7 linked regions of the Canis lupus familiaris genome follow. The protein of the gene in region 4 interacts with the protein of the main gene of each other region in a pairwise test. Links are inferred from orthologs where the notes say so. Each region holds a gene or a part of one and is shown on either strand. Other genes may lie near its edges. The genes, in order: SERTAD3, EXOC7, COPS4, USHBP1, PARVG, DTNB and CCDC146.

Evidence for each region.
Region 1: the proteins of USHBP1 (region 4) and SERTAD3 interact in binary tests that used the Homo sapiens proteins (3 or more experiments, as listed by UniProt). The two-hybrid records come from large-scale screens. The link is inferred for Canis lupus familiaris from reciprocal best matches to the Homo sapiens genes USHBP1 and SERTAD3.
Region 2: the proteins of USHBP1 (region 4) and EXOC7 interact in binary tests that used the Homo sapiens proteins (3 or more experiments, as listed by UniProt). The two-hybrid records come from large-scale screens. The link is inferred for Canis lupus familiaris from reciprocal best matches to the Homo sapiens genes USHBP1 and EXOC7.
Region 3: the proteins of USHBP1 (region 4) and COPS4 interact in binary tests that used the Homo sapiens proteins (3 or more experiments, as listed by UniProt). The two-hybrid records come from large-scale screens. The link is inferred for Canis lupus familiaris from reciprocal best matches to the Homo sapiens genes USHBP1 and COPS4.
Region 5: the proteins of USHBP1 (region 4) and PARVG interact in binary tests that used the Homo sapiens proteins (3 or more experiments, as listed by UniProt). The two-hybrid records come from large-scale screens. The link is inferred for Canis lupus familiaris from reciprocal best matches to the Homo sapiens genes USHBP1 and PARVG.
Region 6: the proteins of USHBP1 (region 4) and DTNB interact in binary tests that used the Homo sapiens proteins (3 or more experiments, as listed by UniProt). The two-hybrid records come from large-scale screens. The link is inferred for Canis lupus familiaris from reciprocal best matches to the Homo sapiens genes USHBP1 and DTNB.
Region 7: the proteins of USHBP1 (region 4) and CCDC146 interact in binary tests that used the Homo sapiens proteins (3 or more experiments, as listed by UniProt). The two-hybrid records come from large-scale screens. The link is inferred for Canis lupus familiaris from reciprocal best matches to the Homo sapiens genes USHBP1 and CCDC146.

The regions. Positions count from the first base shown.
Region 1 is NC_049222.1:114,041,090-114,045,177, forward strand, and holds the start of SERTAD3 (SERTA domain-containing protein 3), read left to right. Parts: upstream 1-1,288; 5' UTR 1,289-1,433; intron 1,434-2,615; exon of another isoform or gene 2,616-3,005; intron 3,006-3,234; exon of another isoform or gene 3,235-3,440; intron 3,441-3,488; exon of another isoform or gene 3,489-3,643; intron 3,644-4,088. Other genes in the region: BLVRB (flavin reductase (NADPH)), read left to right, coding at 932-1,089.
Region 2 is NC_049230.1:5,424,782-5,428,281, forward strand, and holds part of EXOC7 (exocyst complex component 7), read left to right. Parts: intron 1-2,060; coding exon 2,061-2,153; intron 2,154-3,072; coding exon 3,073-3,141; intron 3,142-3,500. UniProt on the Homo sapiens protein: Component of the exocyst complex involved in the docking of exocytic vesicles with fusion sites on the plasma membrane.
Region 3 is NC_049253.1:33,045,303-33,049,279, forward strand, and holds the start of COPS4 (COP9 signalosome complex subunit 4), read right to left. Parts: upstream 2,801-3,977; 5' UTR 2,581-2,800; coding exon 2,507-2,580; intron 1-2,506. UniProt on the Homo sapiens protein: Component of the COP9 signalosome complex (CSN), a complex involved in various cellular and developmental processes.
Region 4 is NC_049241.1:45,884,277-45,888,351, forward strand, and holds the start of USHBP1 (Usher syndrome type-1C protein-binding protein 1), read left to right. Parts: upstream 1-1,275; 5' UTR 1,276-1,412; intron 1,413-1,693; exon of another isoform or gene 1,694-1,751; 5' UTR 1,752-1,825; coding exon 1,826-1,879; intron 1,880-1,976; coding exon 1,977-2,125; intron 2,126-2,338; coding exon 2,339-2,777; intron 2,778-4,075.
Region 5 is NC_049231.1:22,506,691-22,510,965, reverse strand, and holds the start of PARVG (gamma-parvin), read left to right. Parts: upstream 1-1,475; 5' UTR 1,476-1,750; intron 1,751-3,163; 5' UTR 3,164-3,264; coding exon 3,265-3,324; intron 3,325-3,451; coding exon 3,452-3,545; intron 3,546-4,275. UniProt on the Homo sapiens protein: Plays a role with ILK in promoting the cell adhesion and spreading of leukocytes.
Region 6 is NC_049238.1:19,927,672-19,931,905, reverse strand, and holds the start of DTNB (dystrobrevin beta), read left to right. Parts: upstream 1-1,434; 5' UTR 1,435-1,452; intron 1,453-2,655; exon of another isoform or gene 2,656-2,985; intron 2,986-3,316; exon of another isoform or gene 3,317-3,433; intron 3,434-3,998; exon of another isoform or gene 3,999-4,078; intron 4,079-4,234.
Region 7 is NC_049239.1:17,680,170-17,682,520, reverse strand, and holds part of CCDC146 (coiled-coil domain-containing protein 146), read right to left. Parts: intron 232-2,351; coding exon 1-231. UniProt on the Homo sapiens protein: Essential for sperm flagellum biogenesis and male fertility.

The sequences.
Region 1 (4,088 bases), on a different chromosome or scaffold from region 4:
CTTGGGGTCCTGGGACTGAGCCCCACCTAGGGCTCCCTGCTCAGCAGGAAGTCTGCTTCTCCCTCTCCCTCTGCTGCTCCCCTTGCTTGTGCTCTCTCTCTGTCAAATAAATAAATAAAATCTTTTTAAAAATAATAAAATAGGGACACCTGTACCAGTAGGCTCCAAACGATTCTAAGTTGGTCACAGTCAGAGATTTTTAATTATCATAATGAAGCCAACAGATGCCCTCCTACTGGCCAACTTATGCCTCCAGACCGAAGGACCCAGAGAAAATCTAGCCTTTGCTACTGGGAAGTCATCCTTTGCAACCCTGGGAAGTGACTCTTCCAGATTCAGTTTGCCCATCTGTAAAATTGAATTAATAATAGTTCCTATTCCCTGCTTTATTTCTCTCCCTGTAACATACTGTCTATTTCACTCTCTTTATTTGTTGCCTTTTCCCAGCTAGTGTCTGCATGCAAAGGGCAGGGATTCTTGTTCATTTGGTTCCTTGCTGGGTGCCCAGCCCCTGACACATAACAGCTGTCAATAAGGATTTGTCAAACGGATCAAATAAGGGGTATAGACTGGCGTCCTGCACATGGGAAGAGTTTCATACATCATGGACTTTTTTTTTTTTTTAAGATTGATTTTATTCATGAGAGAGACAGAGAGAGAGGCACAGACACAGGTAGAGGGAGAAGCAGGCTCCTCGCAAGGGAGCCCGATGGGGGACTTGATCCCAGATCCCGGGATCACACCTTGAGCCAAAGGCAGACGCTCAACCCCTAAGCCACTCAGGTGTCCCACATTGTGGACTCTTATGCCCTCTGGGCTGGGCACATTGTAAGCACCCTGGAGCGACCACGTGTTGTGGGAAGGGGAAAGGGCCTCAGCTTCACCCAGTGTCTTAGGACCTCAGCTTCACCCAGTGTCTTTACACTTTCAGGAGACCAGCCGCTGACTGGGGCCTACACAGTAACCCTGGATGGACGCGGGCCCTCTAGGGTCATCTCCAAACATGACCTGGGCCACTTCATGCTGAGCTGCCTCACCACCGATAAGTACAACGGGCACTGCACCTACCCCTCCCACCAGTACGACTAGGGGCTCTGACCCTGTCCAGGAGGACAGCATTCTGGCAAATGGAGAACAGAGGAAAGAAGCAATAAATCTTGAGTCAAGAGCTTCAAATTATTCTAGAAGCCCCAACTCTGTGACTCTTTCCTCTGTCCAGTTTTGTCTGGGTGATTCAGTGTTTCTATCTGCCTCTGTGTAAGATTTTCACTCATTTCCTCGTCTGGCCCTGTGCTAGAAACCAAGGGAGGACTGTGAGGACCCAGGGGGCAACCTTACCTTCACAGATCTCACGGTCCTGCAAGGAAGACACCCCAGCCCATGACAGTGACAACCCAGAGTGGCCACAGCTCCGAAGGAGGAAGCCCAGAGGGGTGAGGGAGCTACCTGACCCAGCTTGAGGAGCCAACAAGTTAATAATACTTTGCTCCAAGGGGAGGAGTGGTCATCCCCAAGAGGCTGTTACATGGAAGCTAACCTGTGCAGAATCATTGTAAAAAGCCTGAGCTTTATTCTGAGGTTCTGTGCAAGGAGTGGAGCAGGAGAGAGGTGGGGTGGGGGGCACAGCCAGGTTTGTGTTTTATAAAGCTGCCCTTGGCTGCCATGTGAATGTGGATCAGAGGAGTGCAAGAGTAAGGGCTGGAGCCCCAGGGTACCAAGACGGAGGCCTTGAGTGGGGCCCGAGGGTGGGCATGAGCAGACTGGACAGTCCATGATGGAAAGGAGAGAGACACCCAGAAAGAAGCATAGAGCTGGAACCTGGAGACAGGGTTAGAGTGGGGCCATGGTGAGAAGGGGAGCCCTGGAAGAGGGGCAGGTTTGGGAGGGGGAGGGGAAAGAATGATCCCTTCTTCATCCTGTCCTTTTTTGGAATCTACTGTCCCCTGCCCATGTTCCCCAGAGACACCTTTCCCTGGTCTGAGTGAGCCAGTCCTCTCTCCCTATTTCCAGCTTCCCCCACCTACCCACCCAACATCTTTTCCCTTCTCCTCAAAAAAAATAGTAATTCCATTCCAATCCTATATTGCTTCTGCAAGCAGCAGGATGACTGGTTGACAAATTCCAACCGGTAATAACTGGTCTGAGAAGCCTAACTCCCGTCACAGGGGTAGCCTGGAGAAAACAGCCTCCTCCTCCCTCCTCTTGGTGAAACATGGGGGTGGGGCATTACTGACTGGTTCAGGCTTTCAGGGCACTAGCGCTGTTTTTTTCCTGCCCTCTTTCTCTTTCTGTCACATTAGGCATTTAATGTGCCTTCTTTGTGTCCAGCCATGTGCTAGGTGGTGCTATGGACCAAGCGCTGGGCGACCCAGATACAACCTTGGTGCCTGCAGGGCCCACAGTCCCCACGGTGGGCGCCCAGGTCCAGGAATGGAAGGCATGGGCAGAGGGGACAGGGCCAGGACGGGGGAAGCCCGGGACACGGGAGCAGCCCAGAATGGGAGGGCCTAACCCACTCTGGAGCATCAAAGGAGGGCTTCTGGGAGGAGGAAACTTTTGAGAGGAGTTCTGGGGAGAGGCGGCGGCCTGGGAATTGAAGGATGTGGGAAGCAAGCTTAAAGATCCAGAGGCCCTTTATTGCCATTTTTGAGGACTTGCTATGGTACCTAAAACACTGGGGATAAGGCAGGGAAGAAAATGGACAAAAATCTCAGGGTTTACGGTGGTGGCGGGCCCTTGAAGTCATTTTGGAAAAATGGAAACTCAATCACTGGGGCCGCATCGCAGGAGGCGAGGAGCGAGGAGGAGTGTGCATCAGGCCAGTCCGTGAAGGGCTTTGTGGAAAAAGGGAGGAGCTGGGACTTTGTCCCCAGGGCAGTGGCGAGCAAGGAACGAGTTCCCAGCCGAGGTGCCATCCCTCCTGAGCGAGGAAGGATGGGGCGCCGGGGGTGGGAGGGGAGGCGGCAGGAGAGACGACCGCAGGACGTGCGGCGAAGTCCCTGAGGCTGAAGAAAGAGGCCGCGGGGCAAACTGTTGGGGGGGCAGGGAGACGGGAACCCGGCTGCGATCGCCCAGGCAACGTAGGCCGCGCCGAACTATTGGCTGGTCTTGAGCTGCGTCATCCTCCGCCCCGCAGCGTCCGCCCTCGGAGCCCCGGGGGCGCGGCCTCCGCCAGCGGGGAGGGGAGGGGAGGAGAGGGGAGGGGTGTGCCAAGCAGCCTCGCCCTCGGACGGGGGTCCTCACCTGCTCTAAAGGGACCGCTGGGAGAAGGCTGACGATTTTGGAGCGAGGAGCGTGACTGCGGTGAAGGAAGCGGCTCTGACGTCCTCGCCGCCCTCCGCCCTAGAGACGAGGCCCCGCCCCCCCGGGCCAGTCGGAATCCTTTAAAAGGTCCCGGGTGGAAGGAAAAGGGAGGGCGGGGCGGGCGTCTCCTGGCGACCGGCCGGTGGCTCCGCCCAGCCAATCCTCGCCCCGCGGCGGGCAGGACTCCAGCCAATCGCGGCTCGCGGTTCGGGTCCGGGGCGGGGCTGGGTGGGCCGGAGGCCAGACCGAGAGGCCCTGGGGAGGTGAGCGAGGCTGCTACTCAGCACTGGTGGTGCTGCGGTCGGTCCGGGACTTGGTCATTGCGAACCTGGTGGCTAAGGTGAGAGAGAGAAAGGCCACCCGGCTTGAGATTCGCCTTGGGTTATGGGAGGTGGAGACGCGCCCCCGAGAGTTGTGAGGGCGGGGTCTGGGCGTGGGTCGGGGGGTGCAGATGAGGGTGACTGAGCGGGTTGGTGGGGTTTGGGGGCTGGAGACTGAATTCGAGATCCTGGCCTGAAGGCGAAGTTGTTGGGGGCAGTATCTTCAAGTGGAGGGACTTTGAAGCTGGGACCCAGGGTGTTTGGAGAAGCGAGAGAGCCAAGGAAGGAACTTCTGGGGCAGGAAATCTGAAGATTAGGACAATTCGGGTCCCCCGGGCGGGTTGAATTCGGGGCTCGAGTGCTCTGGAAAAAGGGTGAGGGGTTGGGGCTGGGATCCCGGACCTTTGGAAAAGCGAGAGAACTACGTGCAAGGAATCTGGGTGAGGGAGACGCAGTGGCGGAGAG
Region 2 (3,500 bases), on a different chromosome or scaffold from region 4:
AGGAGAGGCTAGGATATCACAAGTGAAGGGCTGCTGCCACCATAGCTGACACTGCTGAGCTGTGTACACTGTGTACACTGCCCACTGTAGCCTGTGGGACCTGTCCCTCGTGATAGCAGGTTGTGTTTAAGTGTCTCTTCCCTATGCCCCTCAGCAAGCACCTGCTCCCACTCAGGCCTTTAGTTGGGGTTTGGAGAAATGGTAGCATAGAGGCTGCCCTTGGGGGCCCCAGCAGAGACACACCGCCTTCTTCCCTCCAGCGTGGGTATCCTGGCTGTCACCTAGAAAACCTGCTCCCAATAGTGACTGTGCTGAGCCAGCCTGCTGGGCCGCAGCTGCCGGCACACAGTAGGTCTATTCCTATGTCTCTGTGCTTTGGGCGGGGCAGTCTTCCTCCATGAGGCTGTGAGGCAGCCCGCTTCAGCTGGCCTGTGCCCTCTTCCCCATCTCTTCTCTGACAGGCCCACAGGGGGCCCCCGACTGGTCTGCACTGCCCCCAGAGTGTTGGCTGGCCATGGCGGGGCTCACAGGGGGTCTCATCTGTCCTTGGCTTGTGGGTTCTAGAGGAAGACTCAGGCTGTGAGGATCCCTGGTCTCTGCAGAGTCTCAAGAGCTGTCAGCAGCCAGCGCATCAGGGCTGATGTTAGAGAACCAGGGAGCCAGGCCCCTGGCACATCCGCTCCTGGTTCGGAGGTGGGGAGCAGCGAGGCCTCAGTGGACCAGTAATCTAATCCCAATGTCAGCATCTGTGGTCACTGGGCACCTGATGGGTTTGGCGGCCACCCCATCAGCATTTGTCACCCATGTCCACACCAGCCAGCCTCCCCCAGGCCCGTGTGCTGGGGCTGTGGGGCAGGAATCCGATTTGCTCATTAGCAGGACCGCTGGCTGAATGGGGAGAACACAGGAGACAGATGCTGAGCCTGGGCCCTGAACTTGGTCATTAGTGGCTAATTGTCACGTGGTCCAAACAGAACAAGGAGCTGTCACAGATCTTGCCCCTCCTCGCCCCGCTTTTTGGGGTGCTGCCAGGACCCGCACAGCCTCACTGTGTTCAGAGACAGCTGCGGGGACACAAGGAGTCTCCAGGGGAGACGAACCAGGGTTACACGTGGGGCCTCCTCCCCGTTCCTAGTACATTTTATCAACAAGGCAGCTGTCCTCGGCTATTTTAAATACTATTTTATATCCCCCATTTTCTGCCCTGCGAGGTCTCATTCCCACCGAGGTGGCTGACCCCCGGGGCTGTAGGCGCTGTGGTTTTGTTTGTGTTGATTTCACTCGTGATACTAACTGTTGTTTTTTTCCCCCATGCCGGGAGCATGCCCCCCTCTCTACTATCCTGCCTCCTCCGGCTCTGTGTGGTGGCTTCCGTTAACCCCAACCGAGCTTTTGAGTTTGTTCCCGATTGCTTTGGGGGTTCGGGTCGCTTTGGTGCGAGGGGCCAGGCTGCCTCAGGGTCTCCAGGCCTTCTGTCTCAGGCACCGCTCTCCCAAGAAGCTCAGTCACGTTTCACCAACTCCCGGGTTCTGCGTTCTGTCGACCTCTTCCATTTGTCCACGTCCCAACACTGAGCATGCCCGGGGAACCCTGCCTGGCATTTCGGGGCCGGGCCAGGGGGTCCCCAGACTCCGCCAACCTGGCTGTGCTCTCCGGGTGGGAGAGCTTCGTCACCAGCACCTCCGTCCTGAGCCCTGGTCTGTTCTGCCTTAACTGCCACTCAGTGGTGTCTTTATTTTTGGCTTCTCCCGATGGATCTTTGCCCATCTCATCTCCTTCACCTGCTGCACTTCCTAAAGAGAACTCAAATCCAGAGCAACGAGGGTCAGTAGCAGAATCAGGAGCCCCATGTGGGGCATGACCTGGGCCCGTTCCCTCCTGTCCATCTGCAGTGCCTCCGGGGGTCCTGGAAGGGGCCTGCTGGAGAGATGGCGTGTGGGCATGCTCACTGTTGGGGGGCCGGGGCCGGGGCTCGGGGGGGCAGGTGGAGGCCTGCTGCTGTTTTCTCTCACTCATTTCCTAGGTCTTCTTGTCTCCTCTCTGTGTGGCTCTGGTGACAGGGACGATCCGTAAGGCTCAGAACCTTCTGAAACAGTATTCCCAGCATGGTCTAGATGGGAAAAAGGGGGGCTCTAACCTCATTCCTCTGGAAGGTAATCACCCTGTGTTCTTCTCCTGTTCCCTCCTCCTCCACCATGTGTCCACTCTCGTGGCAGGGCAGAGCCTCCAAGCCCCCAGGAGGGCCATGGGAGAGTCCCTGAGAGGGGAGCAGGGGTGGGAACAGCAGGTCCCTGGTGCTGCTCGTTCCAGATGGCCACAGGGGTAGGTGTCGTGGCCTCGGCCTGGTCCTGGCGGGCTGACGGCAGCTCTGCCCTCCCTGAGGCTTCCTACTCCCTCCCTCCCCGTCTCTGTCCTTGTCTTCTATTTGAACTCAGAGAAAGTTCTTTGTCATGGGCAGCCCTTTCACGCTCAGACCAGCAGTGGCAGGATCAAGCCGGCCTAGGCCTCCGGGCCACCCCCACCTCCCCTGGCTTTAGAGAGGGGAGGGTGTGCCGCAAAGGGGATGGGCAGCCTGTAGGCCGGGTCCCTCCTTGCCTCCTATCAGAGGAGGGACAGCCCTGCCCTGGTGGACCTGACCCTCCTTCCAAAGAATAATCCTTGGAACAAAAGGAGGCTGTCCCGTTTCACTCAGCAGTGACATTACTCTAACTGGGTCTCTCCCCAAATATGGTGAGGTGGGTAAACCCCCTGGGGCTGAGCATCAGATCCTCTGGAGCTGCCAGAAGCTCTCCAGAACCCTCCTTGGTCGTCCCGCAGGCTTTCTCTTGGCCTTGGGCTTGGAGAACCAGCTCCCAAGGACGGTCTGGGACACTGCGAGTCAGGCTTGAAATGGCTGTTCCCAAGGTGGTCCGAGGCAGAGGAGGGCCTCAGAGCCCCCTCCCGGGGCCCTTCTCACACCCCCATCTCACATCCCCTCCTGGAGGTTGAGGGCTTCTTCCCCGGCCCCGAGGGGCAGCCCACCCGGCCCCTGGATAAACGCTGCTTGTGTCTGTGCGGCCGACGTCTTGCTAGGTCACGAGCATGATTTCCGAGTTAAGCACCTGTCCGAGGCCCTGAACGACAAGCACGGGCCGCTGGCTGGTGAGTACCGCAGCCCAGCCCGAGGGCAGCCGCCGCTGCCTTGGCAACAGTCCCCGGAGGGCTCCGCTCTGAGGATGAGCCAGGCCTGTTTGCCTCTCTCTCTCTCAAGTCTCTCTTTTGGGCACTAGGTCTCCTTGTCTCTCTCCAGATGGGAGTGTATGCCTGGCTCTCAGGGCCTGGGCCAAGGGGAGAAGTCGCCGCTACTTGGACGGCGGCTCCCTGGCGGGCAGGGAGCCCTGACATCTGACTCCACCAACAGCTCTAAAGCTCTGACTCGGAGCCCGTTTCTTTGCTTATGGGACCAGGTTGCCTGCGGGTGCCCCCTGCCCCAGCCTCCACTAGTGGGTCCCAGTCTCCTT
Region 3 (3,977 bases), on a different chromosome or scaffold from region 4:
ACAAAAGTAGTTTATAAAATTTGCAAAAATGCATCTCACATGGCCGAAGTCTTATGTCAACATTAGATTGTTGTGCTAACTCACAGTTATGAGAAAGCATTTCTAATTGAAGTTTGGGTGAGAAAAGCATACAGGGCTGGTAGGTTAAAAATAAGCTTTTTAGAGTAGATAAACATGGGTTCAAATACAAGCTCTGTACCTTTCTAGCTATTCATTAATTCAACTATCACTTACTAAATGACTGCTCTGTTATAAATATTCTGCTAATTGCTAGAAACACACAGTATCAATATTTTAGAGACGTATTTACTCTGCCATCCCATTCCTTAACATGATTTCTTTGTTACTCAAATCCTAAAACTACTGATACATTTCAAGAGTGTTTTCCTCATAGAGAGGTAGCTGGCAGAACTGTTTTTTTATGAAAATAAATATTTGACATATTCTTATCCAGATAGGACCAGATATGTACCTGTAGGGAAGGCCAAGAAGGTATCAGTTATCAGGCACAATCATCTCATGTAATAGACCATTACAGTAATGGCCTCCAATGAATCATGCCCCCCATCTGTCCATACCCCTTTGTAAAGTAACTTGGCCACTCCTCTCATAAAAAGGCACACACCATTTTTTCCTCCCTTGAATCTGGGCTGGTCTTGTGACTTACTTTGACCTGTTTTAGAAAACTGATCTCATAAGATTTCCATGGCTAGCCTTAGAAGTGTAGCAACTTCTACTCTCACGCTTTTGGAACACTTCTATGGCTCTGTAAGGAGCTACTGAATGAGAGACCATGTGGAGAGACAGACTCAGCCAAGAGCCTGATGTATATATTGAGTCCATTTTAGCCCCACCAGCCCCAACGGAGCTCCCAGCGGAGTCTGCACCTGCATGAGTAAGCTCAGACTAGAACAGCACAACAGTCCAGTCAACCCAAAGAATCCTGAAAAATAATTATTTTACTCTACTAAGTTTTTGTTTTCTTACATAGTAATACATAACTAAAGTACCCTATAAGATTGCTTATTCAGAGCTGAGGAAGCAAATTCTTAGCTTAAGTTTCAGAATTCAAGAATACTTGAAAAACTGTATCTCTTCCAATAAATAATGTACTTCATTTTCTTCAACAAAACAAAACAAAAAGCAAAGGGGGGGAAGGAATATTAGTGGAGCATGGGGAAAAATAAATGCTCATTTTACTTTCATCCAAATCTGTAAAAATTACGTGCAGAAAGGATTAAACCATGAAGACACATTCACCTTATTTACCATCCAAAGAATAAGTCAATGTATGTATTTACTAACTGCTCTACAATAATAGTAACAAAGACAATTTTGTGGCACTAAGCGTCAGGTACTGCTCTAAGTGATATGTATGATATAAGTGTATATACACACACACATACTCATTTTGCTACACTTCTAAGTGTCCGTCCTCAGACAAGAATAAGTCCTATGATCCCCATTTTCATGAGAAGGAAACTGCAGTACATAGTAGCTAAATTCAAGATACACAACTAGATTTCCCACTGATAAAACTAGATTACATTTGCCATCAGAGAAAAGATAGCAGACCTCACATAAAACCCAGTAAAGGTTTCAATGGCCAGGTTAGAGCAGGTGTGTCCCATTTATACAGATCAACATGATCTCAGCGGTCAGGATGTAAATATTACCATCAACTTGAAACGCATACTTTAAACAAAATGCAAGTTCAATACAAAAGAACAGTACTGTATAATCTACAAAAAGAAAACGGACAGTATCTTCCTACCTACCTACGATTAACACTATTGAATAACTGCTTGCATGACAAGCACATGTCACAAATTTTAACGTGTAGTGGATCTAAGCCTTCGACGTAAATTCCTAAACAATTCAGATTCCTGCAAATATCACTAATCCTGACTCACACTGTGAGGACGTTCCGCTTATGTGCCCCTCTTCAGAGTTGGTAGCGGAGAGAACCCAAAACATTAAATATTCACTGAAGACGGTCTCGGTGGTTCTGAACAAGACAGCGGCCATACCTCCTCAGCCCCCGTCAGCCTTGAGAAGCCATCTCCCAGAAAACTCTGCATCGAGGTCCCATAATATAAATTTCCCTCAATTAAAAAAAAAAAAGAAAAAAAAAAAGGCTCCAAGGAGAGACCAGAATTCGGTGTGGGATACTGGCCAGCGATGAAAAGAGGCACCAAGGAAAGCTAAGAAGGCCATGGGAGCAGTCGTCCCTCACTCAGGCTATGCTTCCAGAGTGTTAAGAAACCGGTAAGGATGCTATCAAAGATAAAACAAGTGGACAGTCACCCCAGGTCTGTTGCCCCTGAAGGCTTCCCTGCGCAAGGTCCCCACCAGCTTTCTGCTGCCCCCAATTTTTGCGTCCACAAACGACCTCAGGCCCGCCCCCTTGGTGGTCAGGCCGGCTCACATCCCAAAGCCGCCGTCAGTCCAAGAACAAGGTCTACGGCTTCCCTCCCGACCTTCCAGGCCCCTGGGAAATACTCACTTGCCCGCCAGATCTTTATGAGAGCCGCTCGAATTCATGAGCTGGGCCAAATCCTGCCGCACGGCCGCCGCCATCTTTCTTCCAGCTCAGCAGAGGCTGCTGGGCCTCGCACAGACCAAAAGAAAACGACTGTAGTCCTCCAGAGTGCAGCTAGAGGGAACCCGAGATGCCATAGAGTAGCGACTGCGTGGGCCAGAGCGCCCGGCGTGCGAGCTTGTGCGGGGTCCGTCCGCAGAGTGGAGTGACGCGAAGCTCCACTCACGGCCGAGGCCCGCCCAGGAGTCTCCCCCAGGCTCAGGCTCGCGCGCTCCCACTTAGGATTGGCGGATGAAGTCCAAGGCGTGTGTAGCTGGTGCAACTCCAGTAAGTGCCCGGTACCCAGAATTACCGCGTCGTCATTAATTAAGTTCCGTGTCTCACTCAGGCGGTGTACTGTTCCTCGTTCTTTAAGACAGCCCTTAAACAATTTTTTTTTTTTTAATTTCCGATTCGCCACAGACTGGTACTCTTGTAAAATACAATAAAAATGTGCATATTTCTCCCTAACTTTGTGCCCTTCGTATAGGTTGATGGTGGCGCATCCCAGTTGGTCCAGGACGGTTCCGTCTGTTGTCCTGGAGTGATTACTAATAAGACGCCCTTTTACTCCAGAAACTACCATCTGGATGATAAAATTATATGGTCACCCACCTTTATATCTAATTGTGTTCGTTACTCATGTATGCTTATAGAATTTTTTTTTTTCTGCAAGTATATGTAGATTGTTAAACTTTCTTGCTTTCACATAAGACAACACGCCATATCATTATTCCCCTTGATTTTTTTTTTTTTCTTTTTTAGGGGGAGGCTCTTACCATGTATATCCGAAGAGCTTCCTCATCATTTTTTTTTTTTTAACTGGAGAGTATGGTCATAGTTTTATCTTTATAGCTAGACATTTAAGTTATTTTTAATCAATCAACCAGTGCTGCAATAAAGAATTACCTACCAACAACAGGTAGGAGTGCCATTCTCTGCAGACTTTTGAATTTTGCCCTCATGATATGGAATAAATAGCATATTCCCTCTATTGGGAAGGGGAAAGAAAAAAGACTAGAACCAGGAAATTCTTCAAGAAAATAATGTGGAGATTTGCCTACATCAATTCTGATACCAATCTGTTAGCAAGAATTTAGTCACATGACTAGGCCTAGCAACAATGAGGCTAGAAATTTCGTTTCCAATTGGACAGCCCTTTGTCTAAGAAAAGGATGGGTCTAAAGGGACAATCAGTAATCTCTTCTACAGTCTGTTCCTCTGATTACCTAAATAGCTGTGTGTATTCTTACAGTGGAACACTCCTACCGCTAAAGAACAGAGAGCGATTCCCTATTCAGTTTCTATACCAACTCAAAAAGCAGGGTATCTGATGATGCACAACCCTGTCCATCAGATTGGGATATGTCTTTTCATGACCCAGAGTTATATACAC
Region 4 (4,075 bases):
ATCTGCCTTCAGCTCAGGTGGTGGTCCCAGGATGCTGGGATCAAGTTTCACATCAGGCTCTCCGCGGGGAGCCTACTTCTCCCTCCGCCTTGTTTCTGCCTCTGTGTCTCTCATGAATAAATAAATAAAATCTTTTTTTAAAAAAATGGCTGGAGCAGAGGCTAAGAGTGTAGATTTCAATGTGCCTGGGTGCCCCCAAGTCAGAGAATTGCAACTTATTTCCTTACCAGTTTTGGGGACGCAGAAGCAGGAAGACTCAGCCTCCTCTGTCTGTCAGCGGAATGAGGAAGATTCAGGCTACTCCAGGCTCTGCGCAGTTTAAACCAAGTGTAGGGGCACCTGGGAGGTTCAGTGGTTGAGCGGCTGCCTTCAGCTCAGGTCCTGATCCCGAGGGATCCTGGGATTGAGTCCTGCTTCGGGCTCCCGGCAGGGAGCCTGCTTCTCCCTCTGCCTATGTCTCTGCCTCTCTCTGTGTCTCTCATGAATAAATAAAATCTTTAAAAAATAATAAATAAAAAATAAGCCAAGTGCAGAAACAAGGAAAGGGTTACAGCATAACCAAAGGCCCTGGGATGTGAGAATTGTGAACCTTCACCTGTTCACAGAGGGGTCATCATGGCTAAAGCATGGAGTATACATGGGTGCAGACAGCAGGCATTATTTTTAAGGGCCTCGAATGCCGGGTAGAAGAGCTTGAAATGTTTCCCAAGGGCAATGGGGAGTCATGGAGGGTGTGTGAGCAGAAGAGGTGAACAATGAGGTCTCTGTCTCTGGGGCCTGGGAGGGGAAGGGAGTCAAGGGGTGGGTGGCTGTAGAGTCCACGGAGAGAGAGGGGCTGGCATCCCGGTAGAGGGGAGAGGGTTGGGCTGTTATGGAGGGAGATGACGAGGCCCTTTAGAGATGGATGCAGGAAAAATGGGCAGGATGTAGGGGCGATCTGTGCCCTGAGGAATCCAGGAGAAGCAGCAGCTGGCAGAGGAAGCAGAGATGGGAGGGCCGGAGAGGCAGCGAACAAGAGTGGTGTGTTACAATTCAGTTCTTGGATGGTGCTCAGTCATGTGCAAGTTGCTTGTTAAAATTCCCATGACACTGTAGACAGATCCTATAATTAAAGCCCCCCCCCCCCATTTTACAGATAAGGAAACTGAGGCTCAGAGGCGGAAGAGACATGAGATTGGAGGCTGGGGCAAGGAAGGACCGACAGGTCAGGAGCTGGACATGTGTGTCCCACCGGGACTGGAGGAAGCTGATGTCCTTGAGGAGGAAATAGCACAATAACAAGTCACATGACCAGGGGAGGGGGCTTCCTGTTTCCCGGCCTCTCCCAAGCCAGCCTTGGCCAGCCCGGGGCCTAAGCAAGCAGTGGCCAGAGCTACCCCAAGAGTGTCCAGGGATTTGGGCTGCTGACCAAGGTATTCCTAGAGGTACAGAGGAGTAGCATTAGAGCAGGCTGAGGGGACCCAACCCCAAGATTGGGGCCTCCGACTCAAGAGGACCCTGGGGAGGAGAGGTGATTCTTGAAGTCCTCGAGCCAGGTCCAGATTGGGGACCGAGGGGAGCACAGAGGTAGTGAAAGATAAAGGAGGCAAAAGACAAGGGGAGGTGGGAACAAACTTGTGAGGTAGTGAGCTGCCTGTCAGGAGGGGTATTCAAATGTGCCAGCTCAACACTGGTAATTCAAGATCCCTCCCAGCGGGAGGAGATCGATGCTCATTTCATAGAAGAAGGTATTAAGGCTGTCATTCGCCCAGACCAACAAAGACAAGAGCCGAGATCAGGCTGCGGCTTTCGGAAAAAGAATCAGAGGACTGAATTCTGGACAGCAATGAGTGCCCGGGCCACGCGACCCCGAAGCCGGCGAGGGAGGCACGCGCCACCTGTAAGTGCCCCCTTCCCTGCCGCATCCAGCTCTTTGGGGTCACTCACCCCCTCGCCCCCGGCCTGGCTCGGAGCTTGGCCCTGTGGGTCATTTTCAGGGGGAGCTGGATCCCGTGGCGGAGAGTTCAGAGGAGGCTGAGGCAGCCAGCGGGAGCTCTGAGCTGGGCCCTGTGCCATCTCAGGAGAGCTGCGAGCCGAGGCTGCAGGGGCCAGAGGCAGAGGCCAGTGGGCAGGGCCTTGGGAACAGGTAAGGTCCCCTCCGTCTGGGCTCCCACTCCGGCCCTGGTGTGTCTTTCCTCCCCACAGATCTACCTGTGTTCCTCCCTTGCTCACACACACGCCGTAGCTTCCCACTGCCCTCCTTGCCCAACTTTCAAGGCCCCGGATAATGCACCCTCTGTGAGCCAGCCACCCCAGATGACCCCATTTCCAGAACCTTCTGTCTCTCACTTCACCACAGGACCAACAAAGAGGCTGAGGGGGACTCTAGCAGAGGACTGGCCCCATCTCCCGAGGGACCCCGCAAGCCTGCAGAGGAAGGCCACCAGGCCAGAGATGTAGCTCCACAGGATGGGGAGACTGTCCCCCCCAGGCCTGAAGCCTCTGACGTGTTTCAGGTTCTCCAGCATGCTCTGAGCTCCCTGGAGGCGGCGGCGGCTGCCTGGCGCCGCCGGCCCCCCAGCTGTCCTGGGCCCGGGGAGGCAGAGGACAGAAGTGAGGTGGGACCAAGGCCCTGCTTGGAGCAGGAGGGGGCAAGTGGTTGCCAGAGGGAGGCAGCCAGCCTGGCAGAGAGGAATGACTGGCTACGATTGGCCTTGGGCAGCCGAGAGGAGGAGCTGATTCGCACGCAGGCCTCCCTGCAGGCCATCCAGGGGGAGAAGGAGATGCTGCAGAGAGAGGTGAGGGTCTCGACGTATTGTGCTCTACCTCTGAGGGTTCTCTGTCTAAGGGGGAGGCGGGCCTGGCATAGGCAACCTTCCATTGTTTGTTCATTAGAAAAACTCTTACGGAGGGACGCCTGGGTGGCTCAGTGGTTGACTTGAGTTGAGCCTTTGACTCAGGTCATGATCCCAGGGTCCTGAGATCGAGTCCCACATCAGGTTCCCCACAGGGAGCCTGCCTCTCTCTCTGTGTCTCCTCTGAATAAATAAATAAAATCTAAAAAAAGAAAGAGAAAAACTTTTATGGAGCGTTGACTGCTGCAGAGCCCTGAACAAAGGTGCCTTGCCTTCTTAGATAAGGTGGTCAGAGATGCCCCTTGAGGAGGTGACACTTGAGCCAGGAGGTAAGGGAGGAGCCATGCAAGGATCTGGGGAAAGAGCATGCCAGGCGGAGAAGGAGCTCCCTTCCAGAGGTGGGAGTGTGAGTCAGGGAACAGTGAGCAAGCCAGTGTGGGGGTGAGGGGAGGGCAGGTTAGTGATGGGGGCAGATTTACACGGTCTGTGGGCTTCTGGGAGTTGGGCTTTGGCCCTGAGCCTGGTGGGCTCCTGGGGGGTTCCCCCTCGCCCCCCCACCCTCGCCCTCCCGCGGCAGAAAGGGGCGGGACCTGGTGCCGCGGTCACAGGCGCCCTCTGGTAGGCATGGGAGGAACAGCCGGCGGATCCGCGAGGCACTGGTCCAGACACCAGATGGTGGAAACTGTGGAGGTGGCACAAAGTGGGCAGATTCTGGGTGGTGTCGAAGGTGGAGCTGGCAGGTTTGGGTGTGAAAGCCAGAGAAGGGTTGAGGACAAGTCCTGGTTTGGGGGCCTGCGGGACTGGGAGCCAGAAATGCAGGACCAGGAGCTGTTGGGACCCTAATGAGTTCAAGAAACCCCTGAGCCACCCATGTAGGACCATCAAAGACACAGTTGTGGGGTCAGAATCCAGAGCTCAGGGGAGATGTCAGGACAAGAGAAACACATCCCGACCTCTTTAACATGTGGATGGAATCTAAAGCCATGTGGCTGAAGGAGATGGGGGAACAGGCCCTCATCTTGGGCAGGCCAAGGTGGCAAGATATGGGGCCACCAGAGCCCAGCCTAAGGGGTGGGGCCCACTTCCTGGCTGGGAAAGATGATCCCCGCTCCACATTCCTCTCCTCACCCCCACCCACATTCCTCTCCTCACCCCCACTGCCTCTGGCACCCACCACTCTGTTCTCTATAACTGTGAGTTCAATTTTTCGTTTTGTTTTATCTTAGATCCCAAATATAAGT
Region 5 (4,275 bases), on a different chromosome or scaffold from region 4:
GCGTTGGGAGGGCGGAGACTGAATCCTGCCCCTCTGTGTCTTCCTTTGCCCCAGAGGCCGGCTCCCGTAAAATCAAAGCCCTTAAAACTCTGCTTCATCATCGGTTACTCAGTAACTCTCGGCGGTGGTAACATCACTCACACTTTTTGTCATTTTTGTAACTTCCTGGGAACGCGTTTCATGCTCCCAGGTACCCTCGGTCCTGCTTCCTACCCCTCTACCCCGTTCCTGCCTGTTCTGTCAGCAGAGAAAGGGTGCTCGGCTTGCTGGCCCCTCGGCCCCGTCACTGCTGCCGTGAACACTCACAATGTCATCCTGGCTCCTCAGGATTCAAGTTCAGGACAAAGCTCCAGTCTGAGTTGATCTCTGCCTCTCCTGCCATCCTGAGGCCTCACCTTCTTAACCTCCTTAACACCTGTGCATGCACTGGTCCCTCCACCTGGAACATTCTCATGCATCTTTACCTGGCGAACTCCTACTCATCCGTCAAGGCCCGTTTCTCCTCTGGAAGAACTTTATCCCCTAGGCAACAGCAGCCAGCAGCGCTTATTCATGGAGTCTGCTTGGTGTCGGGCAGCATTCTAGGGGACACGAGACCTTCAGGCCTGTGGTGAGGAACCCTACCGACGGCCTCTTTTAGATCAGGCTGTTCGGGAAGGCTTCCTGAAGGAGGAGGCGTTTAAGCTGATGATACAGATGAGGACTTAGCCACTTTCAAAGCTGGAGCAGGAGCCTCTAGGAAGAGTAAGTGTGAAGACCCTGAAACAGAAGACGTGGTGCTTTCAGGAAGCAGAGGCGGTCAACACATGGCTGAGAGGCTTGGGGGCAGGAATGGAGATCCAGCCAGCAGGTGCATCAGGACACGTGCTGTGCTGGGCAGAAAAGATTTTGGAGTTTTTGTTGTAATTGTTTTTGAAGATTTTATTTATTTATTCACGAGAGACACAGAGAGGGAGGCAGAGACAGAAGCAGGCTGAGGGAGAAGCAGGCTCCCTGCGGGGAGCCCGGTGTGGGACTCAATCCCAGGACCCCGGGATCACATCCTGAGCTGAAGGCAGACGCTCAACCGCTGAGCCACCCAGGCGTCCCATGGGCAGAGTAGATTTTATTTAAGAGCAATGGGATGCCAGTGGTGGGTTTTGATGGTCTGGGACATGAGCCTCCTGGGCAGGGCTGGGGTGTAGAGGGCAGCAGCTACGGGGGTCGAGTAAGGAGGCTCCTCTGTGGTCCAGGCCAGGGGAGAGGGGAAGAGGGGCTGGTTGGGCGGGGGCATGAGGGAGGAGGGATGGCCCGAGGTAGGGCTCGAGGTTCGCTGGTGGCCAGGATGTGAGGTCCTCTGGGGCTGCCCCTGGGAGATGGCAGGCCTGGGAGGGACTGGCTGGGGCTGGGGTTGCGAGGTGGGGAGGGAGAGCGAGAGAGGGAAGAAAGAGCAGGTTCCAGTTGCCTGCGAGGCATCGAGGCATCGGAGGGCCAGGAGGTGTGGCTGGGTGGCTGGGGCTCTGGGGACAGAGCTTTCCGGTGGGGCCGTGGAGGCACCGGGCCCCGAGGCCCAGCGAGGAGGAAGCTCCCTGCAGACGCAGCCGAGCAGGCCCTGCGGAAGCCACAGGCTGGGAGGAAGTGAGTGGGGTGCGTGGCCCCTGCCTTCCCCCCCACCCCGGCCTCCAGCCCCCCTCTGCTGGGAACTCGTACTTGGAGGCCGGTGATCAGGATCTACGTGGCCTTCATTTCCTGGTGTGGAGGAGGCAGCTAGGTGAGTCCTCCTGGCGTCTCCGCTCTTGCGAGCCTCTGTAATGCTGGGGAGCCAGAGCTCATGGAGGGAGGGCTCCCGGGGCCCTGGTGGGACCAACCCCAGAGAACACAGCCTTAGCTGGGGCCACAGGAGAGAGAGTCCAGCAGGCGACACCCTGAGCCTCTGTGCCCCTCCAGCCACCCATGCTCAGAAGCAGCCCCTCTGTCCCCTCCCCTCCTGGGGCCAGGCAGGCGCCATCCTCTTTCCAGTGTGGCCGGGTGGGCAGCCTCCCTTTCCACATGCCATCACCCCTGAGCTTCCCCCAGCGTGCGGGGGAGAGAGGCCACCCGGCTTCAGATGGAGGAACCGAGGCCCAGGGCAGGACGGGGACAGCCCGGAGTGGCCGATGGCCTGCGGCTCTTCCAGCTCTGTGTCCACTCCACTGCCTTTGGTGACTCTGAGTCGGGCCCTGCCTTGTATAAAGATCTTTAGGACCAGAAACAGAGGGGATTTATCCCAAGTCACACAACTAGAATGAGGAGGAGCCAGGCTGGACTCTGGGCCACCTGACCCCCAGGCCACACTCTTTTCTCTGGCCACATCCTTTGAACCGAATCCTGTCCAGGAGGAGGTTTGGGAGTTCAGGGGGTAGGATGGCGCCTCAAGCAGCGCCCTGGTGTCCCTGGGCTGGCTGCTGGGGTGATGGGGTGGCTGCAGCCCCAGGGAACGCCACCAGCTAGCCCCAGCTTTGGACCCTGCTGCTGTAGTCAGGCCTCCCCGGGGACTGGAGCCGAGCACCAGTCTGATGTGTGACACCCCAGCCCCAATGTGGTTTGGGACCAGAAACGCCGGTGGAGATGCCGGGGCTGAAGAGGGGGGCAGAGCTTCCGGCTGAGCAGGAGAGGAAGTGAGCCTAGGGGAACAGGAAGGAGGCCAGGGCTGCCCCATACCACTGGGGGTGAGCCCGGCTCCCTGTCCATAATGAACACCCGAAGGGGGCTGTGCACACTCTGCAGATGCCGGCCCCGCCCATGCCAGCATGAGCACTGAGACCCCCCAAACCGCAGAGAGGCTGAGGATGATGAGGCGCATTGTAGAGAGCCTCGTTTAGAACCAGGACGGGCAGGGCCAGGCCACCCTCTGAGGCCAGGCCCACAAGGAGATGAGCCTGGGTGATGTTGGCACGCCAGCTCTGTCCGCTCACTCAAAGACTGGGGGTGCCACTCTGTGCCCACCTGTCTCGGGTTCGGAGACCTGGAGAGGATGACCCCAGGGCCCCCCTAGTCCAACCCCCACAGACGTCACTCATCAGTGTGTTTACCTCCACCAACTCCCACGTGGGCCCCCCTGGGTACCCCCGGAGCCCTGTTCTAGGGTTTCCTGGACCTTGACAAGCTCTGGAGAGTGGGCCACCCCCCTTTGTCCTGACTGCAGGGAGTGGGGCCCGGACTTCCTGGGTGCCGCAGAAGAGCTGCGGCCTGGCTCCTCCACACCCGACCGAGGAGGCGCCTTTGCTCAGGCCGTGCCCTCAGCCGATGCCTCTCTCCAGCCCTACATCCTACAAGAATCGGCCTGAGGCCTACCTCTCATCTGGGGTACCTGTCCCCTTGCCTAGGCAACCCCCCTCCCACTGTCCCTGAGCCTCATGGTCTGGAAGAAATGACTCACAGGGTGAGTGCGGGGCTCCTCGGACGGTGATCCCTTCTGTCCCCTGCACCCCAGGCCGGCACGGGAGAAATGGAGCCCGAGTCCTTCTACAACCTGCTGCAGCGTCCTAAGGTGGCGGGGCCGCCGGCGGAGGAGGAACTCCCACAAGGTGCCGTGTCCAGGGGGGGCCGGGGGGCAGGCAGGGCAGGGCAGCAGGGGTGGGTGCTGGTGAGGGTCTGCACAGCAGGAACCCGACAGGCAGGTCTGGGCACGGCCCTGCTTTACCAAGTCGTCCTCCGAACACCCAGTTCCATTCGGCCCCTGCCTATGCCCTCTGCTTCATCCCTGACAGCCCCCCGCCCCTGATTCCAGAAACTTCGTCAGGTATTCCCTCCTGCCCGCACGTCTCGAAGTTAATGGTGACATTGAGGCGAGCCTAGCCGCTACTCTGTGCTATGCACGTCTTACAGGCAGCAGCTCATTTATTGCTCTGAGTGTAGACCGTACACCTCCTTTGCACTCACAAGGAAACTGAGGCCCAGAGAGGGCCGTACCAGAGTAGCAGGTGACTCAGTTACCGTGGTGGAGCTGGGATGCTGAACCCAAGGAGGGCGGCTCCAGCTTTCAGGATCCACGCCCACCACGCGGTGCTGGCAGCTGTCCCCAGAGATCTGACACCTCACGGGGGTGGGGGTAGGGGTTATTGATCTGCTTCCTTCACACGCATGGAAGAGAATGGGTGTAGGATGGGGCGGTTCAGCAGGTCTGTTTTCCCAGCTTGGGGAGCTCGTAGCTGCTGCCCCCGAAAGCTCCCTCCCCGGAGGTGGTCAGAGAGGACAGCTCAGCTGCCCCAAGCTGGCATCTCCCTGTTACAGAAAAGAAGCAAGATAGGAAGTGAC
Region 6 (4,234 bases), on a different chromosome or scaffold from region 4:
AGTCCCAGGATTGAGTCCCACGTTCGGCTCCCTGCATGGAGCCTGCTTCTTTCTCCTTCTGCCTCTCTCTCTCTCTCTCTCTCTGTCTCTCATGAATAAATAAATAAAATCTAAAAAAAAAAAAAAAGTCCTGTATACATCACACATTCTGCTGGTCAAGCAATTCTCTTGGGCCAGCCTGGATCAAAAGAAGGGACACAGAATCTGCAGACATCTTTAATGTACTGCAGCCTTAGTACATTAAGTAATTTGAACTTTTTGCATGGTGGCTTTGAAAACTATTATTTTTGTCTAATAGTTTTAAGAGGCTAGCTCTTAGAATCGATCACTCTGATGGTTTCCCCCAAGTACAAGGGGGCTCTCTCATTATGTAGGTTTACATTTTCTTATTTCAAGAAAATTTCATTATTTGTCCCATTATTTGGCATTCCAAACAGAGAGAGAAATAAGCACAAAGGTCTGCAGGCAAGGGAAAGGAGGAACATTCCAGGAGTTTGGATGGGATTTGTGTAGGAAGTGACAGAGAGGAAGTGGGGAGATAGACAAAGGATAGATGAATGGATGGTTTTGCGTGCCATGCTGAGCAGTGACATATGCAGGCAGCATATTCTGGGAAGTGTTTTCTGACATGCAGTATAGAATATGGAATGAAAGGAACGAGACCACAGGAGAGGGACAGGATCAAAGCTATTACGTTAGTCTAGGTGAGAGGCTTAGCCATGAGGGACAGATTCTAGAGTTCTTAATGAGGAGAATCAACATGATTGTTGAGTGTGGTGGGGACGGGAAGGGAGGAATCCAGGATGACTCTCAGGTTTCTGAACTGGGCAACTGAGTGGACAGTAATGCAGAACAGTTTTAGACACATAGGGCTTGGGGTGGCTGGAGGACATCTAGGGGAAGAGGTCCAGAAGGTGTTTGTCTGTGGAACTCAGATGAGTGGTCTGAGCCAGTAATGCATTTGAGAGTTGCTGGTATATGTGATGGATGAAGACAGGGAGGGGGTGGAATGGCTTCAGGAGATTGTGTAGGGTGAACCGAACACTGAGAACAGAACTTGGGAGACTCAGGAGTGGTCAGCAGGGTGAGGAGGTGAGTCATGTCATGAAGGCCAAGGGAGTTTCCAAAAGAGTGGAGTGCTTTGTGTTGCCAAGTGCCACCAAGAGCCCAGTGATATGAGGACTCAGATACAGCCTGTGACATTTGGGATTCAGCAAGCCCTTAACGATGGATTGGTGCAGGGATGTGGTGGGGACAGAAGTTACATTGTGTGGGTTGACGAGGGAGAAGCTGCTGAGTTGGCAGAGATGAGTGCAAACTACTTTCAAGACATTTGTGAAGGGAAATAGAGAAAGGGAGCAAGCAGTAACTAGAACACAATGCAGAGGGACCGAGGGGTTTCTTGTTCTGAGGACAGGAAAAGCCTGACTATGGCAGATGGTGATGGAAAAGGTAAGAGGGTTTGATAATTTTGAGAGCTTGAGGTGGGGCGGGGGGCACGATCGAAATATGTCTGAAAGGAGTTTTCTGAGGATGTGGGAGGTAATGAGGTATGTATGATGCTCATAGAAGTGAACTTAATTCCCAGAATGGCTTATTATAGTCCAGCTCTGGTACTGAAATTACCTTGGTTTCAATCAATACGGCAAATATAGCAAACAATATCGACATATTTATTTTACATCATTTACACATCTTTTCTCCAAAGGGTAGGATCAATGTTTTACCCTTTCAAAGCCTCCCACATAGTTGGTGCTCAGTAAGTGGTAAATGAATAAACAAGATGTCTCTTGCCTGTATTCTGAGTATCTCAGCATATTCAGAACACAGTCAAGACCCTGCACACAAGCGAAAAAGCTTGAAAAAGCTTGCATGCTTAGAAGCATCCAAGAGTCCTAAAATCCATGTGTCAAAGTTGATGTCCTTTCCTTGAGGAACCTGTTTACCCTCACTTATTTCCTTCACCCTGGGAGTTTAAAAATAGGAAAATGAGAGGAGGAGGAAGAGGATGTTCTAAAGGCAGTCAGGCAGGCAGACAGCAGCAGGAGGTGGCACGATCTGCCTTACCATAAGGTGCCAAAAAGCAGTGAAAACCCAGGCGCACAGCATCCTGGCTTGGGGGCTCTTTGCTTAGGGACTTAACATCCCGCACTCACAGTGCAATTATCCTTAAAGGACACTGCTGATTTGAGCCGTAAGCAACTGTGAGAAGAACGATCCTCTGAACTATCGAGAAAAAGCTTAGCTGTTCTTATTTCGAATCATCTCCTACATTTCACACACTTTGGAAAGCATTCTGTCAAAAATGAATAATATTAAAACAAAAAAGCTGATGTCGAGATGGTAAATCTGGGTCCGGCTCCGTTCCCTCGCCCAAGCTGTTTACCCAGCCTTGGACGCCCTTTTTTTTTTTTTTTTTTTTTCTCCTCGGACGTGTTTCTTTCTCTTCCTTCCAGTCGGGACACAATTGCCACCTATTCCAGGAACCCCCTCCACTTGGTCCAAGCGGAAGTAATCTCTTCCTCCTCTGCCCTGCCATAGCATCTCCTTGTGGGCTTGGCTTTGCCTGGGTCACCAGCCCCGCCTGTTTACACGGCTGCTTTCGTACGAAATTATGCGCACCTCGAACCAGGGGCCGTGACCGCGACGGCGTACCTGCGCAGCACCTGGCAGCGAGCTAAGCGCGGAGCCGGCGCTCACGAAACGCTCGCTGGGTTGAACTTCATTTGGGAAGATCCCTCAGGGCAAGACCTCTCGCCGGAGGCGCGGATGAATGATTCATGGGGTGGTTCTTTGCATTCTTCACCTTCGAGTCACGGCGCGCACAGTGTCCAGCTGCCCCGGCACATACCTGTGGAATCGAAACGCACCTCCGCCGCCAGCGCGCGGGACCAGCCGGAAGGGGGCGGGTTTCACCCCTCCGCGTCCGCCAGTCGCGGGCCCGCTGGGGGGAGGGGAGGGACGGGGGAGCCGGGTCCCGCTCGGCCGCAGGGGGCGGGGCTCGGAGGGAGCTCGGCCCGCTCGCCCGCCCCCTCCTCTGCGAGGCGGAAGCCCCGCCCCCGGCCGCGCGCTCGCACAGGCGGCGCGCGCCCGCCCCCCGCCCCCCGCCCCGCGCCCCGCGCCCCGCGTCTCCGCGCCCCCGCGTCTCCGCGCCCCCGCGCCCCCGCGCCCCCGCGCCCCCGCGTCTCCGCGCCCCCGCGCCCCGCGCCCCCGCGCCCTCGCGCCCTCGCGCCCTCGCGCCGGGGGCGGGCTTGCTGCGCGTGCCGGGCGGGGAGACGGCGCGAGCCGGGCGCCTGAGAACGTCCGCCGCGGGGGCGGCTCCGGGGCCTGAGCGGGCTCCGCCGCCACCTCGGCCGCCGGGCCCGGGCCGCAGGAGGCGCAGGAGGCTGCGGCCGCCCGAGACCTTCGCGGCGTCCCCAGCTCCGGCCGGGAAGTGAGTGCGGCGGCGGCTCGCGGCGGCCGCGGGCTGCGGGAGGGCGGCGGGGTGGGCTGGAGCCTCGCGCCCGCGAGGAGCGGGAAGGAGCCTCCGGGCGGCGGGGGACGGACGGGGCTCGGGGAGCCGGGGCCGCTGCACCGCGAGCGCAGAGTCCGGGGCCGGCGCGGCTGGGCTCGGAGCCCCGGGCCGGGGAGGGGTCCCCGGGGTCCCGAGCGCACCGTGGCCGCGGGGCGCGGGGCCGGGCTGCGGGCGCCGGGCTGATGCTGCTGCTGGAGGAGGAGGCTGAGTTAGGTGCTGTGAGGGGCGAAGGAGGCAGGTCCTGGCAGAGGGCAGGTGAGGCAGTTAGGCCCTGGCAGAGGGAAGGGACTGTATCTCAGCTCGCCCCCAAGCACTGCTTGCGGAGGCGCCTAACCGTGCTGAACCCGTGCACCGAGGTCACCCTCGAAAAGAAGGTGTCCTGAGAGCAGGCGGGGTGGAGGTAACAGATGCTTGCCGTTGAATTCCTGTGCCAGGCCTTGGGATTAGGAAGACCTTCCAGCGCTCCTGGCCAACGTTTATCGATTAGCTACCTGGGGTAGAGAACCGCGGTCAGCAGCTGGGGCCACGAAATAGTGTAAAACACAGCCGTGATCTGCCGTGTAGGTAGGTGCTGACGATTTGGGAGCGAAGGTGTGTGCATGTGAAATACAAAGTAGCATTGAATTTCGTCTCACACTTTATTCACTTTAGGTCTTTTTTTGGGTCTTTTCCCAGTGTTGGGAAATTGGAGCTATAAATTGCTTGGTTTGGAGATAAAGC
Region 7 (2,351 bases), on a different chromosome or scaffold from region 4:
GGCCAAGGCATACATTTCTTCATCTCGGAGTATCTTCAACCATTCTGTCTCGATGTCTTTATTGAGTGGCAGGCCCTTTTCTATCCTGGAATTGCAAGAGAAAATGAAGTCTTCTTTCTCCCTGACTTCCTTTTGGAGTTCAATGGCCAGAGCTTGCTTCATGGACAGCTCAGCAACAAGAGCCATCATCTGTTCCGTAGCATCTTTGATCTTCTTCCGGTAGCCATTCATCTAGAATGAAAGAGCCCAAAGCTTAGACTATATATATTCCATGAAGAGTCAAGAAAATGGCAGGCTGAGAGCTGTCTAGAACGGTGAGGTGTGTGTGTGGGGGGGGGGCGGCGGCGGGCATTCTTGCCTGAAGGAGGGAGAGCCTAAGTGGGAATTCAGAGAAAATAAGAACTAGGAGAGATCTCAGAGATTGAGCCCAATTCCCTGGCTGTGTAAGTAAGGAGAAAAACACATCTGTTCATTGAACTATGGAGTTCCAAGTGGATAGGTAACATTGAGGGGAATAGTCCCTTTATTTTTAAGAGGTGAGAAGAAGAAAAGGACAGGATATTTTTGATGTCTAAGTTCTGGCCTAAGATTGCCATGTTTTTAATTTGTCACTTATCCAGCGGAAAAAAATCTGGTAGAACAAAAACTATACTTAAAAAATACTCATCATCATTGGGCAGCCCAGGTGGCTCAGTGGTTTAGCACCACCTTCGGCCCAGGGCCTGGTCCTGGAGACCCGGGATTGAGTCCCACATAGGGCTCCCTGTGTGGAGCCTGCTTCTCCCTCTGCCTGTGTCTCTGCCTCTCTCTCTGTGTCTCATGAATAAATAAATAAAATCTTAAAAAAAAAAAAAACTCATCACCTATGCAGAGGTCCCGCATCTGAAGTGATTTTTAATGGAAAATATCGTACCTCATTGTGGTTGCACTATTGATCATAATTCCTGGGATGTATCTTTATTAGGTCATGAGCAAGCATGAACTGAACCGGGGAAAATCTGGTCAGTCATTTGAAATGAAATGTTCCTTGTTCTACACGTATGTTTACCATTTCACATCAGGTGGTTATCATCAAAGACTTAAAAGATCAGGCTAAGTAGAACATAGCACGATTAAAACAATATTTGTTGAATGAAGGAATTAACGAATTCTATCTTAATCCTCCAGCCTTTTGAGCCAGGGTACACTGAGAAGCCATTTGCTTCTAGGAAAGATGAGAGCCTGGAGATCTGCATTCTTGTTGAGTCCCCACAAGGGGCTAGGCCACTTCTTACCTAGTGAATGCTTAAAACAACTTAAGCTAATGTCACATCCCTGTCACAGATTAGAAGACTTGGTCATTAAAATCCTCTCTGTGTCCTTCTCAAGGTCACTCGCTAGTATTGCTATGTCCCTGACCTGGGATCTGAACCATTCTACCCCTAGTTCTGCCTACTGTGAAGAGGTCATAATGTTGAATGAAAAAACAAAAACAAAACAGGGAGAGAACACCAAAGGTGGGGAAAGGCAGGGGAGATCAACCACTAGGCTAGGACTCCTCTGACGGAAGCCTCCCAGGTAGCAGTCACCACCATTCACATTTCTCTAGCCTTTCGGTTGACTTCCAGACTCTGTTGACCAGCCAGCCCTGGGTGAAAACGAAGGACTTCCCCTAAAGAGAGGGAAGTTCATTTTGCAAAAGGAAGGAAGGCAACATTTAGAGAAACAACATTTAGAGAAAATTAGAGAAATGCTGATTCAGGCAAGTTCATGAGACTAAAGAAGTCTTAACATCTCCTATTTCTGGAGTAAAGTTGTGACCTGTGCAGGAGCCGTGGGACTGGGGGCTCAGTGTGCTAGTGGAAGTCCTCAGAGCAGCCGGGTAAAAGCCAAGGGAAAACGGCAAAGGAGCCTTGAGATTTATAATGATTTTGTTTCTTTAGTGCACCCAAGTGTTTCTGGAATGGGACTGACTGTTCATTCATTCAACAGATTGTTTTTTTTCTTGAGCTTAGTGCACACCAGCTTTAGGGAAATTAAAATCCCCATGCCGTCACGGCGGGATGCTCCAAGGGGCCAGGAGGCCCAGCGAGCAGGGGACCCGGACGGCCCTGTGCGGAGGCCCTGCCTCCCCTGCCTCCCCTGCCTCCCCGAGCTCCCTCCTGCTGACTGCCCCGCTCTAGCACCAGCCTGACGGGTCGCTCTAAAGTAGCAGGCCTCAGATTTTAAACGTCTGAAATTGGGAAGCTCCACATTCAAGGTGTCGCCTTGCTAGTGGGGCCCCGGCAGTGGCTGCCCCCCAAGACTATTAGGCATGGGTGTCGTGTGATTGCTGTTCTCTTGTCATGGTCCCTGGCCGTTTCTGAGTTCTG